Mus musculus: one gene and its partner. The protein of the gene in region 2 interacts with the protein of the main gene of each other region in a pairwise test. Links are inferred from orthologs where the notes say so. Each region holds a gene or a part of one and is shown on either strand. Other genes may lie near its edges.

Evidence for each region.
Region 1: the proteins of Apoa1 (region 2) and Apoc1 interact in a two-hybrid assay, tested with the Homo sapiens proteins (2 studies listed by BioGRID, with this or other methods). The link is inferred for Mus musculus from reciprocal best matches to the Homo sapiens genes APOA1 and APOC1.

The regions. Positions count from the first base shown.
Region 1 is NC_000073.6:19,688,705-19,696,584, forward strand, and holds Apoc1 (apolipoprotein C-I precursor), read right to left. Parts: upstream 3,956-7,880; 5' UTR 3,905-3,955; exon of another isoform or gene 3,783-3,904; 5' UTR 3,765-3,782; coding exon 3,707-3,764; intron 3,332-3,706; coding exon 3,184-3,331; intron 933-3,183; coding exon 872-932; 3' UTR 776-871; downstream 1-775. Other genes in the region: Apoe (apolipoprotein E precursor), read right to left, coding at 7,676-7,880. UniProt on the Homo sapiens protein: Inhibitor of lipoprotein binding to the low density lipoprotein (LDL) receptor, LDL receptor-related protein, and very low density lipoprotein (VLDL) receptor.
Region 2 is NC_000075.6:46,226,212-46,233,340, reverse strand, and holds Apoa1 (apolipoprotein A-I preproprotein), read right to left. Parts: upstream 4,712-7,129; 5' UTR 4,605-4,711; intron 4,404-4,604; 5' UTR 4,385-4,403; coding exon 4,342-4,384; intron 4,226-4,341; coding exon 4,072-4,225; intron 3,537-4,071; coding exon 2,939-3,536; 3' UTR 2,872-2,938; downstream 1-2,871. Other genes in the region: Apoc3 (apolipoprotein C-III), read left to right, coding at 1-118. UniProt on the Homo sapiens protein: Participates in the reverse transport of cholesterol from tissues to the liver for excretion by promoting cholesterol efflux from tissues and by acting as a cofactor for the lecithin cholesterol acyltransferase (LCAT).

The DNA of each region.
Region 1 (7,880 bases), on a different chromosome or scaffold from region 2:
CGTCATCTGGGGGCTCATGGTAACAGCTTCAAGAAGTTAAGTAGTGAGAGCTGGCAAAGCTGCAATGGAGAAGCCAGACTGGAAGGGCATTCTGGAGAAGGGGACATGGTGATCTGTAGGTGACTGGAAGGGCATTCTGGAGAAGGGGACATGGTGATCTGTAGATGAGTACCTCCTTTCTGGTTCCCTCCTATGCCCGTCCTGTCCACCCTGCTTCCTAGTCCTCTGCATCATCCACTTGCAGTTTAATGAGTGTCTACTCTCTGCACTGGAAAGTCCAATCCAGCCTCATCTGGATCACACTAAACAGGAGAGTGCAAGCTATGCATCACTGCAGGCTATGCATTCAACCCTACTCCCTGCCGGCTGACTGGGTGCCTTGCACCAAGAGCTTTCCTGCTTTGAGCCTCAATGTTTGACGTGAATAGGGTTCTCAAGGTTCTTTGGGGAACCGTAACGTGAAAAGTATGCAGACAGGGGTGGGGGGGCCGGAGAGATGTCAAAGCGCTTAAGAGCCCTGGCTGTTGTTCTTCCAGTGGACCCAGGTTCCATTCCCAACACCCACATGGCAGCTCAGGACCTTCTCCAGTTTCAGGAGAAGTAAGGCCTTCTTCTGGCTTCTGTGGGTACTGTACACACGAGGTGCACATAAATGCACATGCAGGCAAAACACCCTCACACATAAAAATACATAAACCAACAACAAGCGAAGGGACACACCCAGTCTCTGCATCATCCCTCAGCCCCCACCCCAGTCCAAAGCACTTCAGGGAGCGTTTGCCTTCTACACGTTTTTTATTGGTCTGTGATGAAGAGGGACCTGGCACATTACGTGGATGTCCTTGATGCTTCGAGGTGGCCCGCCAGGTGCTCAGGAGAACGTGGTCTTCAACTTCTCCTTCACTTTGCCAAATGCCTCTGAGAACCAGGCCCTTTGGAGAGAGACGGGGCCGAGTCAGTGCTTACTGGACCCTCCGAGGGACCTAGAGCTCTGCATCCCATTCCCCTCCGGTTCCTTTCCTTATCTCTCCTCATCCTGTCTGTGGGATGAAAACCCTGGGGTGGGGGTGGGGGTGTCATTGTTTCTGCCTCAGTTCCCTCACACAGACCAGAGAATTTGTGTGGGTGTTTTGGGACAGGGTCTCATGTAGCCCAGGCTAGCCTCAATCTTGATATGTAGCTAAGAATGAAGACCTTGAACTTCCAATCTTACTGCCTGCACCTCCCAAATCAATGGGGTACCGTGGGCTTTGTGCACACAAGGCAAGTACTGAGCCACATCCCCAGCCCAGATCAGAGCATCGTGAAACCAAAACTCAAAGAACTTCATCTTGACCTGGCTTTCAAAGCCAGCCACTGTGTGAGAGGTGGCTAGCAGGTAACTACAGAGAACAAAGGGCAACCTCCTAGCCTAGCCAACTGGCTGCCAGGGTTCCATATGTCTCTCTTTCCCATCACCTGACCCAGGGTCCCATCTGTCTGTCCTTCCCATGGTAGGGTGAAATGTCTGCACTCTAACTAGCTCTGTATCCTGGAACTCAGAGACCTGCCTGCCTCTGCCTCTGGAGTGCTGGGGTTAAAGGCGAGTGCCACCACTGTCTGGCATTTATACATTCCCTTAAAGCTTTATTTTGTTCATGTATTTGTGCTCCAGTGCCTGCAGTTCCAGTAGAGGGGATTGGATCCCTTGGAGCTGGAGTTACAGGGCTGCTGTGAGCTGTGCTGACATAGGTGTGTGTGTGTGTGTGTGTGTGTGTGTGTGTGTGTGTGGTGGGGTAGGGGCACAGGCTGCTGGTCCTCTGCAGGAGCAGCAAGTGCTCTTAACTGAACCCTATGACTGATTTTTAAAAATGTGAGTTCTGCTGGGCAGTGGTGGCGCACGCCTTTGATCCCAGCACTTGGGAGGCAGAGGCGGGTGGATTTCTGAGTTCGAGGCCAGCCTGGTCTACAGAGTGAGTTCCAGGACAGCCAGGGCTATACAGAGAAACCCTGTCTCGAAACAAACAAACAAAAAGATGTGGATTCTGGGATCAACCAGATCCGCACTGGCATTTCCCCTGGTCTTCCCCTGGTTTCCTTCCATCTTCTTATCTTTTTTTTTTTTTTTTTAATCTTGTTTGTTTTTATTTTTCGCTGGGATTAAAAACATGTGCAGCTACACCCCACAAGGCTTGCCATCTCTTGCTTCCCGCCCACCCCTTCTTTAGCCTGTGCTTGCCCAAGCTGTTGCCGCTCACTCTGGCCTGTGTCCTTGGCCCAAGTTCTCCCCCGAGTCTAGAAGGCCATTCTCTCTTATCTACAGATCTTCCCACCCCAGGGCCTTTGCACTTTCCCTCCAAAGGAAACTTCCTTTGCCAAGTTTAGGCCTGGCTGGATATTTGTAATCAAACTCAGACCTCACTTTAAATGAACGATTTGTCTACTTGCCAAACTGGCTAGCCAACCTGTTTACAGCATACCAGGTGTCTCTCAGGTGTCTTCACCTCCTGCTTTTTGTTGTTGTTTTCAATTTGAGGCAGAACCTTGCCTATAGCCCAGGCTGGTCTCAAACTCCTATTTCTGTTCTTTGCTGGGCCCTTTTTTTTGGGGGGTGGTGGTGGTGTTGAGACAGGGTTTCTCTGTGTAGCCCTGGCTTTCCTAGAACTAGCTCCAATCAGGCTGGCCTCAAAGAGATCTGCCTGCCTCTGCCTCATGAATACTGGGATCAAAGGTGTGCGCCACCACTGCCTGGCTAGTTCTTAACCCAGCATGCCCTAATCTCTCTTTGGCCAGTGTAAACTGCAGAGCCCAGGCCTGTACAGCTTCTGCTGTGCCCCTGCCCCAACTCTCCTACATTCTTTCTCTGTCTCGGAGACTCAAGTCATGACCTGTCTCAAGAGTACACAGGGAGGGGTCAGGGTCTGTCCTAACCAGTCAGCCGCCTAGCTTGGCCCTTCACTAGGACTTGGAAACATCTCTAACAGTTGGCTGGGAGTTACACCGCCTGTCTCCACACTACGAGCACTTTGACATCCAGTTCAATGACTTCAGATACAGTTCTATGACTTCAGGGAAAGTGTCAAACACTCTGGTGCAGTTTCCCCATTGTGTCAGTGTGGAACTGTCTGCTAGGGCTTTTACACACGGGCGCGCGCGCACGCACACACACACACACCACCCGCCCGTGCCCTGAAAGGTCCTAACCGGGTCTTGGTCAAAATTTCCTTCTGTTTGATATGTTCAATGGCTGCCCGGGCCTTGTCTTCCAAAGTGTTCCCAAACTCCTTCAGTTTATCCGGTATGCTCTCCAATGTTCCGGACAAATCCGGGGCCGCCTGGGCGGGGGCTGGGCCTGCCGCGAGAGGGTTGCGAGCAAACTCATTAGCATGGGGGAGGGTATTGGACACTTGATTTTACTGCACCTCTCACCTCCTTGTTTTTACGCTCCGCCCCTTCTAGGAAGATTAGCCAATTCCAAAGGGTGGTATCCTAGGTCATTGGTTACTGCGTCTTTTCTGGACAGAGTTGCCTCCTTCAGCACCCACTTTGACACAAAAATAAGGCACCTGGCAGGTGGGATGGGGGACGATGGGAGGGCGGTAGTGGAATGATGACACAGAAAGGGACCTCAGAGCCCTCCTCGAGGGTCTTCTAAGCCTGGGCCGCAGGCACAAGGCCAACTTCACACTTCCAAGCCTCTTTCTTACCTTCCAAGGCTCTTTCTTACCTTCCAAGGTCATGGCTACGACCACAATCAGGACAGGAAGAGCGATGAAGAGCCTCATCCTGGTTGGAGGGGCACCCTGGAGGCAGACGCACGGGTAGCGGGGGACATCGCTAGTATTCACCACCGCCCTCCACCATGATCCCACCACCCCAATCCCTTAGCTGTAGGTAGTGGGGGGACACTTTCCTATGCACTAACCTGGATCTAAGGATCTCTCAGGAGGCCCATGGCGGTGGGAGGATCCTGCACAGAGGTTTAACCGGTTGGGGAGGGGGCGGAGCAAGCTGGTCGCCCTCCCCCTGAGCCTCCCCCTTGTCTCTGTGTCCACCTACTTTTTCTTTTTTCTTTTTTCTCTTTTTTTTTTTTTTACATAGGCTTTTTGGCTGGCCTGGAATTTGTGATGCTCCTGCCTCTGCCTCTCTAGTGAGTTGCTGGGATTACAGGCATGCACCAACACCAACACAACCAGCCCACTCTCTTCTGTCATTCTGGTCGATACTGGGAGGCAGATCCCACATCCAGGCTTTTTATTTAGGCCCAAGGCTCGTCACTGGTCAGCATCCTCACTTCCAAATCTCATTGATCTCCACCCAGCCTTGGCTGCTCTGCCTACTCACTCTCTCTCTGAGGCTGTCCCACCTTAAGGGGGGGGGTCTTACAAACAACTCCCCTCACCCCCATCTCACCCCTAGCTCACACTGCATCCTCAGGTTAGCTCTTCTCTACCTTCTCCTTGACCAGGAGCCTCAGCTCACATTCTGTCCCGGATGCTGCACCCTGGCTCCCTTCACCTCCAATGCCTTTGCATCTGCACACCCTCAGACCTCCTCGGATGCTCTCTGGGATCTTGGCATCCCCTCATCTCCCTTCCTTAGAAGTTGCCTCTTCAGCTAGTCAAAACTGCAAAGAAGCTAAGAGCCTCTTAGCTTGCAGAGCTCCATAGTGTCCCCTAACTGGCACAACCCCCCTTCCCCCGTTTTTAGGTCTTGTGGGGCCTCCTAGGCCCCTGCAGGCCCTAAACTTGCCTCCCTGCCCCCTCCTTCCACAACATCCTTTCTCTCAGGCTAGAGTCCAAGGCCCTTCTCCCCCCCTCCCCCAGAGCTGTCATTGACCGACAGTGACCCCCTGGCAGCTGGTGGCTAAGGGGCCCAGACTCTAGGTTGGCTGGCCTGGTGCCCCTGCAACCCACGTGTCAGTTGGGGCGGGGGTGGGGGTGGGGACGACGACAACAGGGGGATGGTTGTGAAAGGGGTGGAACAGATTCTCGACCCTGGCTGGGTTGCGACATCTCTGGGGCCAACTCGGCGCTAGCTAGCTTCCAGTCCCTGTGGGCACCAGGCCTGACCCTTTTGCTTCTTGAAAGGAGTCCTGCTCAGTCCTCAAGCGCCCATCTGAATAATGTAACAGATTTCCCCCTTACTCTGCCCAGTGCTTGGTGCTTCCAGTGTCATCCTACTCTTAGCAACAAGGGCTTCCTGTGCCACAGGTAGGGTACGGGAAGCACACAGCTAAGGTTCTAAAACTGCTAGTCATTCAGTTCTTTTTTTTTTTTTTTTTTTCCTTCTTGTTTTCCTCTGTGTAGCCCTGGCTGTCCTGGAACTCACTCTGTACAACAGGCTGGCCTCCATGACTTCCTTCACGATCCTAGTTCTGTAATGTCTTTCTGTGGTCCTTGCCCCACCTCCAGGTCTGCCCACAGGGAGGTGGGGTTCCTTCTTCGTTTAGAAGTAAGGCTCTGCTCCTGGTTGTACATCCCTGCATCCCACCATCATTTGTTAGGTAGAGACAGGAAGACCAGGCACAGTCTTGGTTATATAGATTGAGGCCAGCTTGGGCTCCATGAGCTCTGGATTGAAAACCAACAACAAAGTGATGATGATGAGGAGGATGTGGCTCGGTTGGTTGATGACCTGTCCAGCATGCAGGAAACCCTGGATGCCATCTGTATAGCACCACATAAAACTGGGGGTTAGGATCACACATTGTCTACCCAGTACCGAGGACTCGGAGCCAGGAAGACCAGAGTTCAAGGTCATCCTTGGCTCTACAGTGAGTTGGCAAAAGAGTAGCTCTGGGTACACGAGGCCTCGTTTCAAACCAGTGAAAACAAACTCTCTTCTGTAGAATTAACTAAGTTCTCAGATAGGCCTAGTGGCGCGAACCTGTAATTCCAGCCTTTGAAGATGAGGCAGGAGGGTTCAGAGTTCAAGGCCAGCGTGGCTCAAATAACATCACAATAATTCAGGTCTTCAGAGGGAGACATTCCCTCTATACTCTCCCCTCATCTTGATATTTGAGAGTAGTGAGGCTCTGGGGGTGTGCTCCTAGCCCCTGGGCATGAAGTGTGGCTGTCTAGGGCCCTGTCACTAGCCCACCGACCCATCTTCTCATTGGGCCTAATGAGTCATGTGTGGGAGTGGTGCCTGCCTCCAGATAATGCTGAGTTTGATGCCAGGAAAAGCTGCAGGCTCGGGGTGTGCCAGAGGCAGTTGAGTTCTGAAGCCTTGGCCCGACCCAAGACACAGCTCAAGCCCTAGCCTGCCCCTGTTAGTGGGAGCCCTGCTGAGTCCCTGAGAACTGAGGGGGTGGGAGGAGAAGCCAGCCAGGGGCTCTCCAGCTTCCACCATGACCCCTTTGAGTACCAGGACATGGGGAGAATGGTTTTGTGTCCCCAGCCTGAACTCACTCTCCATACACTTGCTGGGAAAGTCAAAAGGCATGCAGCACAGGCAGGGGAGAAAGAATGGGGCTAAGGCCCCATGACCCAGAGGGAGCAAAGATCCAGCTAACTTCAGAGCAAGGGAGAAAGGCTGAGGTTCCAAAAGCCACGTAGAAACCGTAGAAACCGCCAACCAAAGGCCCAGAGCAAAAGAAACCGCGGGAGGGTGAGATAACAGAGGATCAGGAAAACAGGAAGCCAGAAAAGGAAGCCTAGAAGGGAAAAAGAGGAGAGACAAGGCAAGGAGAGGGTGTCAGATAAGACTAGAGCGGAGGAGGAGAGATAAGACAACCAGAAAAGTAAACACCGCCTGGCGACCCTGGTCTCTTACATGTTGATTGATTCAAGGCATAGCTGTGCAGTGGGTGCTTGGGAAGTTGGGAAAAGTAGCCCAACTGACCCACATGAAGTGGTACATGCCTTTCTCAGTTCCTGTAGAGATTGATTTGAAAACAAAGATTCAAATATTCAAGACCAAACTAGGCTAGAGGGAGTGCAAGGAAAATCAGTTGAGATCCTATTTCAGACTAAAAAGAAGGGTGGATATAGCTAAATAGAAGAGCCTGTACTGGGTGCTGGAGAGATGGCTCAGCAGTTAAGAGCACTGACTACTCTTCTATAAGTCCTGAGTTCAATTCCCAGCAACCACATGGTGGCTCACAACCATCTGTAATGGGACCTGACGCCTGAAGACAGCTGCAGTGTACCTTATACATAAGATAAACAAATCTTAAATAAATAAATAAATAAAATGAGCCCATGCCTAGAATCCAGGGGTAGGGGGCGGTGAAGAGCCCCAGAGGCTGTGGGTGTGGCTCAGTGGTAGAGCTACTGACTAGAATTCCCGTAGTGAGGGGCTGGAGGGGCGTGACTCAGTGGTAGATATGATTCCCCAGTGAGGGGCTGCGGGTGGCTCAGTGGTAGAGCCCCTGCCTAGAATCCCCCAGTGAGGGGCTGTGGGCGTGGCTCAGTGGTAGATCACTTGTTCTTTTATGTTGCTAGGTCCTAGGCTTCATTTCTATTGCTGCAAAACCACCTCCCTCTACAGATAGTGACAGGGCCATGGAATGTGTGCTAGGTAAGGCAAAAAACAATAAACTGAGGCTGAAGCTGATTGGAATCACTCACAGAGACTCAGAATGTGCTCGGAGAATCTTTATTAAGCAAGGGCCACCAGAGGGCCAGAGAGGTGCTTGAGACAGGGCCACCTGGCTGGATATGGATGTTGTTGCAGGACAGGAGAAGGATACTCATTGATTCTCCTGGGCCACTGGGGTGATGATGGGGTTGGTAGCCACAGAGGCCTGTATCTTCTCCATCAGGTTTGCCCACTGGCGATGCATGTCTTCCACTATTGGCTCGAACCAGCCCTTGAGGCGGGCCTGGAAGATCTCCGCCTGCAGGCGTATTTGCTGGGTCTGTTCCTCCATCTTGGAGCGCACCTCCTCCATGTGC
Region 2 (7,129 bases):
CTGGATGGACAATCACTTCAGATCCCTGAAAGGCTACTGGAGCAAGTTTACTGACAAGTTCACCGGCTTCTGGGATTCTAACCCTGAGGACCAACCAACTCCAGCTATTGAGTCGTGAGACTTCTGTGTTGCAGATGTGCCTGTTCCTCCATCCTGCTGCCCCCCTCCAGGCCTGCCAGGTGGCCCCTGAAGGTTGCTTTAAGGGGAAAGTATGTTCTCATGTCTTCACCCCTCCCTAGATCTCACCTAAACATGCTGTCCCTAATAAAGCTGGATAAGAAGCTGCTGTTAGTGGGTGTCCCATGTGCCTGGACGTCTGGGCATGGGGATGAGCTAGGCCTGTTGAAGGGGTGGACCTGGGGCTGTAGGTCATCCACCTCTTTAGTGGTCTCTGGGGTGCTTCTTCCTTTGTACGTGGGACTAACTCCGCTTCCCTGCTTGACTTAATGGGAAAGATCAAATCAGGTAACGACAGATTTGCAGTTACAATCTGTGATAAACCTGTCAAGGGCAGGACAACGTGGACGACGTGGCTGGAGTGTAGTATCTGTCTAGCTAGCAGTCTTATGTCATCTCCAGGCTTAAGGTCAGATATGATCACCAACCCCGTGCAGCTGGTTTGCACAGCCCAGGCTGCCTGGCCCCTTTAAACAGGCGGAAAGGAAGGAGGCAGATTGGGAGGGTGGTCGGATAAGTCTCAACCCCACTGCAGTGTAGCGGCTTCCATTTCTTATGAATAAAGTGGGTAGGACCTGCCCCTCCCCTGAAGGTTTGTTGTAGAAATGAAATGGTAGTGTCTAAAAGCATGAGGTGCCGCATGCGCACACCCCTTGTAAACAGTCCTCACTGTGATAGCTAAACTAGGTGACCTTCTAGACTGGAATGGAGACCCAGTGTCCTCAGAATCCCAAAAGGGCTGCTTGCTAAGTTCCTGCCACCCCCAAACACTCACTTCAAAGAGACCCAGTGTCACAAAACAGGTCTTGCACATTATAGAGTAAAAGACTAATGTTCAGAGAGTGCCAGTGGCTGCCCCGGATCAGGAGAAAACACACTGCAGGGCCAGCTTTCCATTTTCCACGTTGCTGGCACCGGAAAAGCCTCTGCCAGGTGTTGGAAGCTCCTTTCCAGACTGCATTGGCACAGCCAGCAGACTGGACTATGTTCTCTCTGGAAATCCAATAGGGGTTTCTCTTCCTGTCCACCAAGAGCCAGAAGTCTCATTGTCCACACCGGGAAACTTTCCTACCCAAACCTGGTTTAATGTCTGCTGTGGCTCTGCATGATTGTGGATTTAAAAACTCACCCCTTCAGCCAGGGGCTCATGAAGATACACCGGGGATGGATGGAGACCACCTGCATACCAACACAGGCATGAAGAGGGGCAGATGAGAGGAAGGCTGTTGGTGTGAGAGTGCTTCTGCAGACATCCTCAACCCTGTGAACATGAGTGCTTGGTTACACTCCATAGCGGGCAAGTCTATACAATGAACAGTCTGGGCTTGGCAGGCAGCTCAGGTGGTAGAGGGCTTGCCTTGCATGCACAGAGCTCTGGGTTTGTCTCAGCACAGAGTAACAGTGGTGGACCATCCTTGAAACCCCCAGCACTTGGGAGATGGGGCAGAAAGATCAGAGCTCATCTGAGTCTAGCCTGGGCTAGTGGAGACACTGTCTCCAAATAAAATAAATACAAACAAGGACTGGCAAGATGGCTTAGCTAGTAGATAAATACAAACAAGAACTGGCAAGATGGCTTAGCTAGTAGAGACGCTCGCTACACTAATCCTGGTGACCTGAGTTTTTGATCTTTGGGACCTATATGGTGGAAAAGAGAACAGATACCTGCAAATTGTCCTCTAATCTCCACACATGTTCTGTGGCACGTGAAAACACACACACACACACTCACACACACACACACTCACACACACACACACACTAAATAAGTCTAATAAAAATTTAAATATTTTATATACCTTTATTTATATTTGTGGGGTGTGTGTGTGTGTGTGTGTCTTCTAAGCACTGAACTCAGGTTCTCAGACTTCCGAAAGTGCCTCTACCTGATAAGCCACCTTACCAGCCCCATGTAATAAAAGGGGTTTTTTTGTTTGTTTGTTTTGTTTTTGTTTTGTTTTAAAATGGAACGGCACATCCTGACCCACCTTTTCTGCAGTGACTAACTTCAGACCTCCCAGCTCAGCTTCCCCAACTGGTGTGGACTTAAAGGCCATCCTTCAGGATTTAGAGATGGATATGAAGGCCTCTCTAGTAAATGTGTGGTCACCAGCATCATGGAGAGGGGTGTTTGTTTGTTTGTTTGTTTTTGTATCCAACTGTCAGGTAGAGTAGCTGCAGCCTTGACCCTTTCAGCACACTGTGTGGGTGCACCGGAGGGAAAGATCAAAGGGAATTGTTTACCGAGATCGGGTTCAGCTCCAGGCTTTTTATTAGCACCCACCCAATAACTCCAATCTTCCTGGCTCCTGAAGGAATCCTGGCTCTAGGGAGTGGAAGAGGCTCCCGTCCTGCACCCTCTGGACCCCACCTGGAAACTCGGCTAGCACAAGAAACCAGCGGTCTCAAAGCCAGTCCTATTGCCAGACACTCTCATCCTGGTTTACAGCACTAGTGTTCTGAGCCTCTGTGGGGCCCTTTTGGGGTTCCTTGTTGCTTTGCCTGGCCATCCATTTCCCTTGGAGCCTTCTTAGGAAGGGATTCTGTCTCATACCCTGAACCAGCCAGGTGCCCAGCTTGAGTGAGCGTTAAGAGCTGAGTAGTCGCGTACAAAGGAATCCCCAGTGCGGCACCATGTTCTCACGTCCCTTGATGTCCCCTTAGCGCCCGCCCTATGTCCCCCAAAGAAAGAAGCTATTCCATTTTGGAAAGGTTTATTGTAAGAAAGCCAATGCGGGGGTGGGGAGTGGAAGCGGGCACCTCACTGGGCAGTCAGAGTCTCGCTGGCCTTGTCGATCACACTCTGGACTTGGGTCTTAAGCGTCTCCAGCATGGGCATCAGACTATGGCGCAGGTCCTCCAGCGCAGGTCTGGCTTTCTCGCCAAGTGTCTTCAGGTGGGTTTTGGCCCTGGTGTGGTACTCGTTCAAGGTAGGGTTGCTCTTGAGCTCAGCCAGGCGCTGGGCCAGGCTCTCGCGCATCTGTTCGCTGTGGGGCGCTAGCTGTGTGCGCAGAGAGTCTACGTGTGTGCGCATGCGGTCGCGAAATTCCTCAGCCACAGGGGACAGTCTCCCTTGCAGCTCCTGCAGCTTCTGGCGCGCGCTCTCCTGCAGCTCGGCGCCCAGAGGCGCCACCTTCTGGCGGTAGAGCTCCACATCCTCTTTCCATTTCTTCTGGAATTCGTCCAGGTAGGGCTGCACCTTCTGTTTCACTTCCTCTAGGTCCTTGTTCATCTCCTGTCTCACCCAATCTGTTTCTTTCTCCAGGTTATCCCAGAAGTCCCGAGTCAATGGGCCCAGCCGTTCCTGCAGCTGACTAACGGTTGAACCCAGAGTGTCCCAGTTTTCCAGGAGATTCAGGCTAGAGGGGGAAGAGAGCGGCTGAGAGACGAGCCCAGGCATCATGCGCTGCCCCTGGTCTGCAGATCCATGCACATGATAGCTGGGTGCCACCTGTCCCCTAATGTGCAGTTGCTATGGTCCTAGTTTCCCCGAACATGCAACCCTCTAACTCACTGCCTTCCCTTTACATTCCTCTGTACACATGGCGGAAGGCACCAAGAACACAGATGTGGTCGGTGCTGGTTACAAGGCCAGTCCCGTTTTTTGTTTTTTGTTTTGTTTTGTTTTGTTTTGGGTGCTGTCTGACCAGTACTGGGGGTTACCAAGGAAAAGGGATTTGGCACTCATAGGCTGAATGAGGGGCTGTGGTTACCCAACAGCCAGATGAATCCCATCCCTAGTCCTCCACTGGAACCTGCCATGGTGCCCAGCTGGTAGGAAAGCCCGTGAAGGGCTAGCCAGCTCAGTTCCAGCATCTTCTCACTGGTCTCTCTGCCCACCCTGGATGGGCAGCCCTTGACCTGCTCCAGGCCCCACGCTAGGTCTTTCCTTACTTCAGCTGTTGGCCCAAGGAGGAGGATTCAAACTGGGACACATAGTCTCTGCCGCTGTCTTTGACCGCATCCACATACACATTAGCGAAATCCTTCACTTTGTCCCATTGGGACTGGGGTTCATCTTGCTGCCATACGTGCCAAGCCTGGCTCCCTGGGGATGGAGGGGAGACCCATGTTAGGTTAGACTCGGAGTCAGGGAAGAGAACAGTGGGAATTCTGTTCTCTGTGCCCAGGAAGGTAGTCCCACGCAGGTCAAGAGGCACCTACCTGTCAGGAAGACCAGAGCCACGGCCAGCACCACAGCTTTCATCCTGAAGGGTGTGGGTGACCTGAAGAAGAAGAAGGAGGAGGAGGGCTGGGCTGAAGGGAGGCATTGTCATGGAAAGGCTCCACACACAATTCAAGCCCATGGAAGCATTGGCTAGAATGGCTAAAGGTGCGAGATATCCACGGTATTGATTTGGACAGTGGAGCATCAACTGGGAGGCGCTATGGAGCCAGAGCCACCGAAGGCAGGTAGCAGCACTTACCTCCCCGGAGCTCTCCGACAGTCTGGGTGTCCAGCTCTTCTTCCCTGGTCTATATATGTGTGTGGGCAGGGGCTGGGCTGGGAGACTGATAAGCTCAGCCTGGCCCTGCCACTGCTTACTTTTGCTGGCGATGTGGAACTTAGAGTTCAAGGATCAGCTCTGTTCCTGAGGCTGGGCAAACAGAGTGGGCAAACAGGAAACTGCGGGGGCTGCCGAGCTGGGATCAAGGGTTCAGGTGGGGGCAGCAGGGGGTGGCTGCAGACTCCAGGGGTCCCCAGGGGTAAGGCAGTTGCACCATCCCGAGGTGTATGTCTTCTTCAAGATAGTCTCATGGAGCCCACTCCTGGACTCCTCTGTGTTGCTAGTGCCCTCTGAGCCTGGAACAAGGGAGGGAGGGAGGAATTGTGGGCTCCTTCACTCACAGCCCCACCCCAAAGTTTTTTTTTTGCTTTCCAAGGGGTTCCCCCTTTCACCTCACCCTGGTCCCCCAGGTTTGGGGATTTGTCTTTCCAGATGCCACATGTTTAGCCAGCCTCCCAACCCTAAATCCAAAAACAACTGAGGTGTCAGCCTGAGTGAGATGCAGACAGGCTCATATCCCCAAGCTGAGGATGAAGACCCCTCTGATGCTTCAGAAGAAATGACAGAGGCCAACATGGAGTTGTTAGCTCCTTCCTTGTCTCCCTCCCTCCTTCCCTCCCTTCCTTTCTTCCTTATCTTAGGTACATGAGCGCTCTGTCTTCAGACACACCAGAAGATGGAATCAGATTCCTTTACAGATGGTTGTGAGCCACCATATGGTTTCTGGGAATTGAACTCAGGACCTCTGGAAGAGCAGCTAGTGGTCTTAAACCGCTGAGCCATCTCTCCAGCCCCAGTTGCCAATGTTTTTGTTATGTGTAGATGCTGTTATTCAGCCTCCCTTCCAGAGAAAACCTCACCATATACCATGACCACTAAAAGGGGTCATGTAGTTCAGTGACGATATGTCTTCCCAGAGTGGTGAGGGCCTAGGCTCACTTGCCAGGATGGGAGAGCTGGGTAGCTGTGTAGAGTGGGCTGAGTACGGTGGCCAGTTTTTGCACTTGGAAGGTCAGAGGGTTGAGAGTTCAAAACCACAGCCTTGCCCATATAGCAAGTTTGAAGTCAGCCTGGGCTATATGAGAATATCTAAAAACAAAACAAAACAAAACAAAACAAACAAACAAACAAAAACCACAGATCATCTCTAAAATCCCATTATGGAAAGTGAGTTTTCAAGCTAAGAGGAACTTTTGAGACCATCTATTTGAGGTTCTACCATGAACTTCCTTCTAGATAAGGGCCTGTTGAGAGTGGAAGGAATTTGCTGTGTCCTTTATCTCTCAGCCTTAGAGGCAAGGATGGACCTTGCGCCCAGGTCTCTGCATTTGGGACCCAGGGCAGGAATGTACTCTGCCCATCTCCCTAGGAAACTCCCCAACTCCCTAGAAACCAGCTTGGAATCTGTCTACCAGTTCAGGGAGTGGCTGGGATTCCAGGCTGCTCCCATCCCAGGAGGCTTTGCAACCAGAGAGAACCTTGGTTCTGGGATCTGCAACTTATTCTCCAGGTGACCCGGACAGGTTACATAACCTCTCCGTCCCTGGGTCTCTTATCTGCTAAGGAAAGATAATGACAGAGCATGCCACAGCTTCCTTATGATCCCAGTCACTGTATGGGAAGCAAAATGGAAAAGATGTGTGTGCACTTACTAAGTCCAGGAACCTGTGCGTGGTGTCTAACATGGCAAATGTGATTAGGGGACTTGAACTCAAGGGTAGCCTGGGATATCCAGAGGGCACAGTAATCACAAGGGTCTCTCAATATGCTAGAGGAGGCAGAAGGGCCAAAACCATGGAGAAACTTGAGAACAGAAATAGAGACCAAGCAATCTGAGTGTGCAGATGAGCCAAGCGGGTTTCGGCTACCCATCCATGGGTGCTGGAAGAGAGAAGAGAAAATGCAGGTTTTCTCTGAATGAAAGAGTTTTCAGACAGAATATCACTCTGACAATCCCATGCTTTTAGCCATGATTTGAGCTTCTGAACTCCAGAGTTTTATTTGTGTTGTGTTGTCTGTGAAGTCTGAACACATTTCAAGCAAAACTGCTGAAAGGTGACCAACAGCAAATGGCAAGTGTTCTGCATCCCAGACTCCTGAGGTCACTGCCACGAACACATTCTGTTACTAGGCCATAGCCTGTGACCCCAGTTGCTGGCAGCAAAAATGGGGTAAGGCAGGTGTCTGGCTTGCAGGTGCTGTGATGCAGGACATCTTTTCCAGGTTGAAACCAGCCCCCGAGGGCTGTGGGAGCACTCAGAGGGAGGTGGCCTCCACAGGAGTAGTTTTTTAGGTCTTTTGGGGGTGGGGTGGGGGTGGGGGTGTCTGTTGGTTTCCAGGATGCTTCCCACAGTCCTATCTTTCTTTCTGGCTCGTTACTGAAACCGTGCTGGCTAATCCTAATTGAACCTAACATTTGCTCCGCAACTCATTTAAAGTAAACT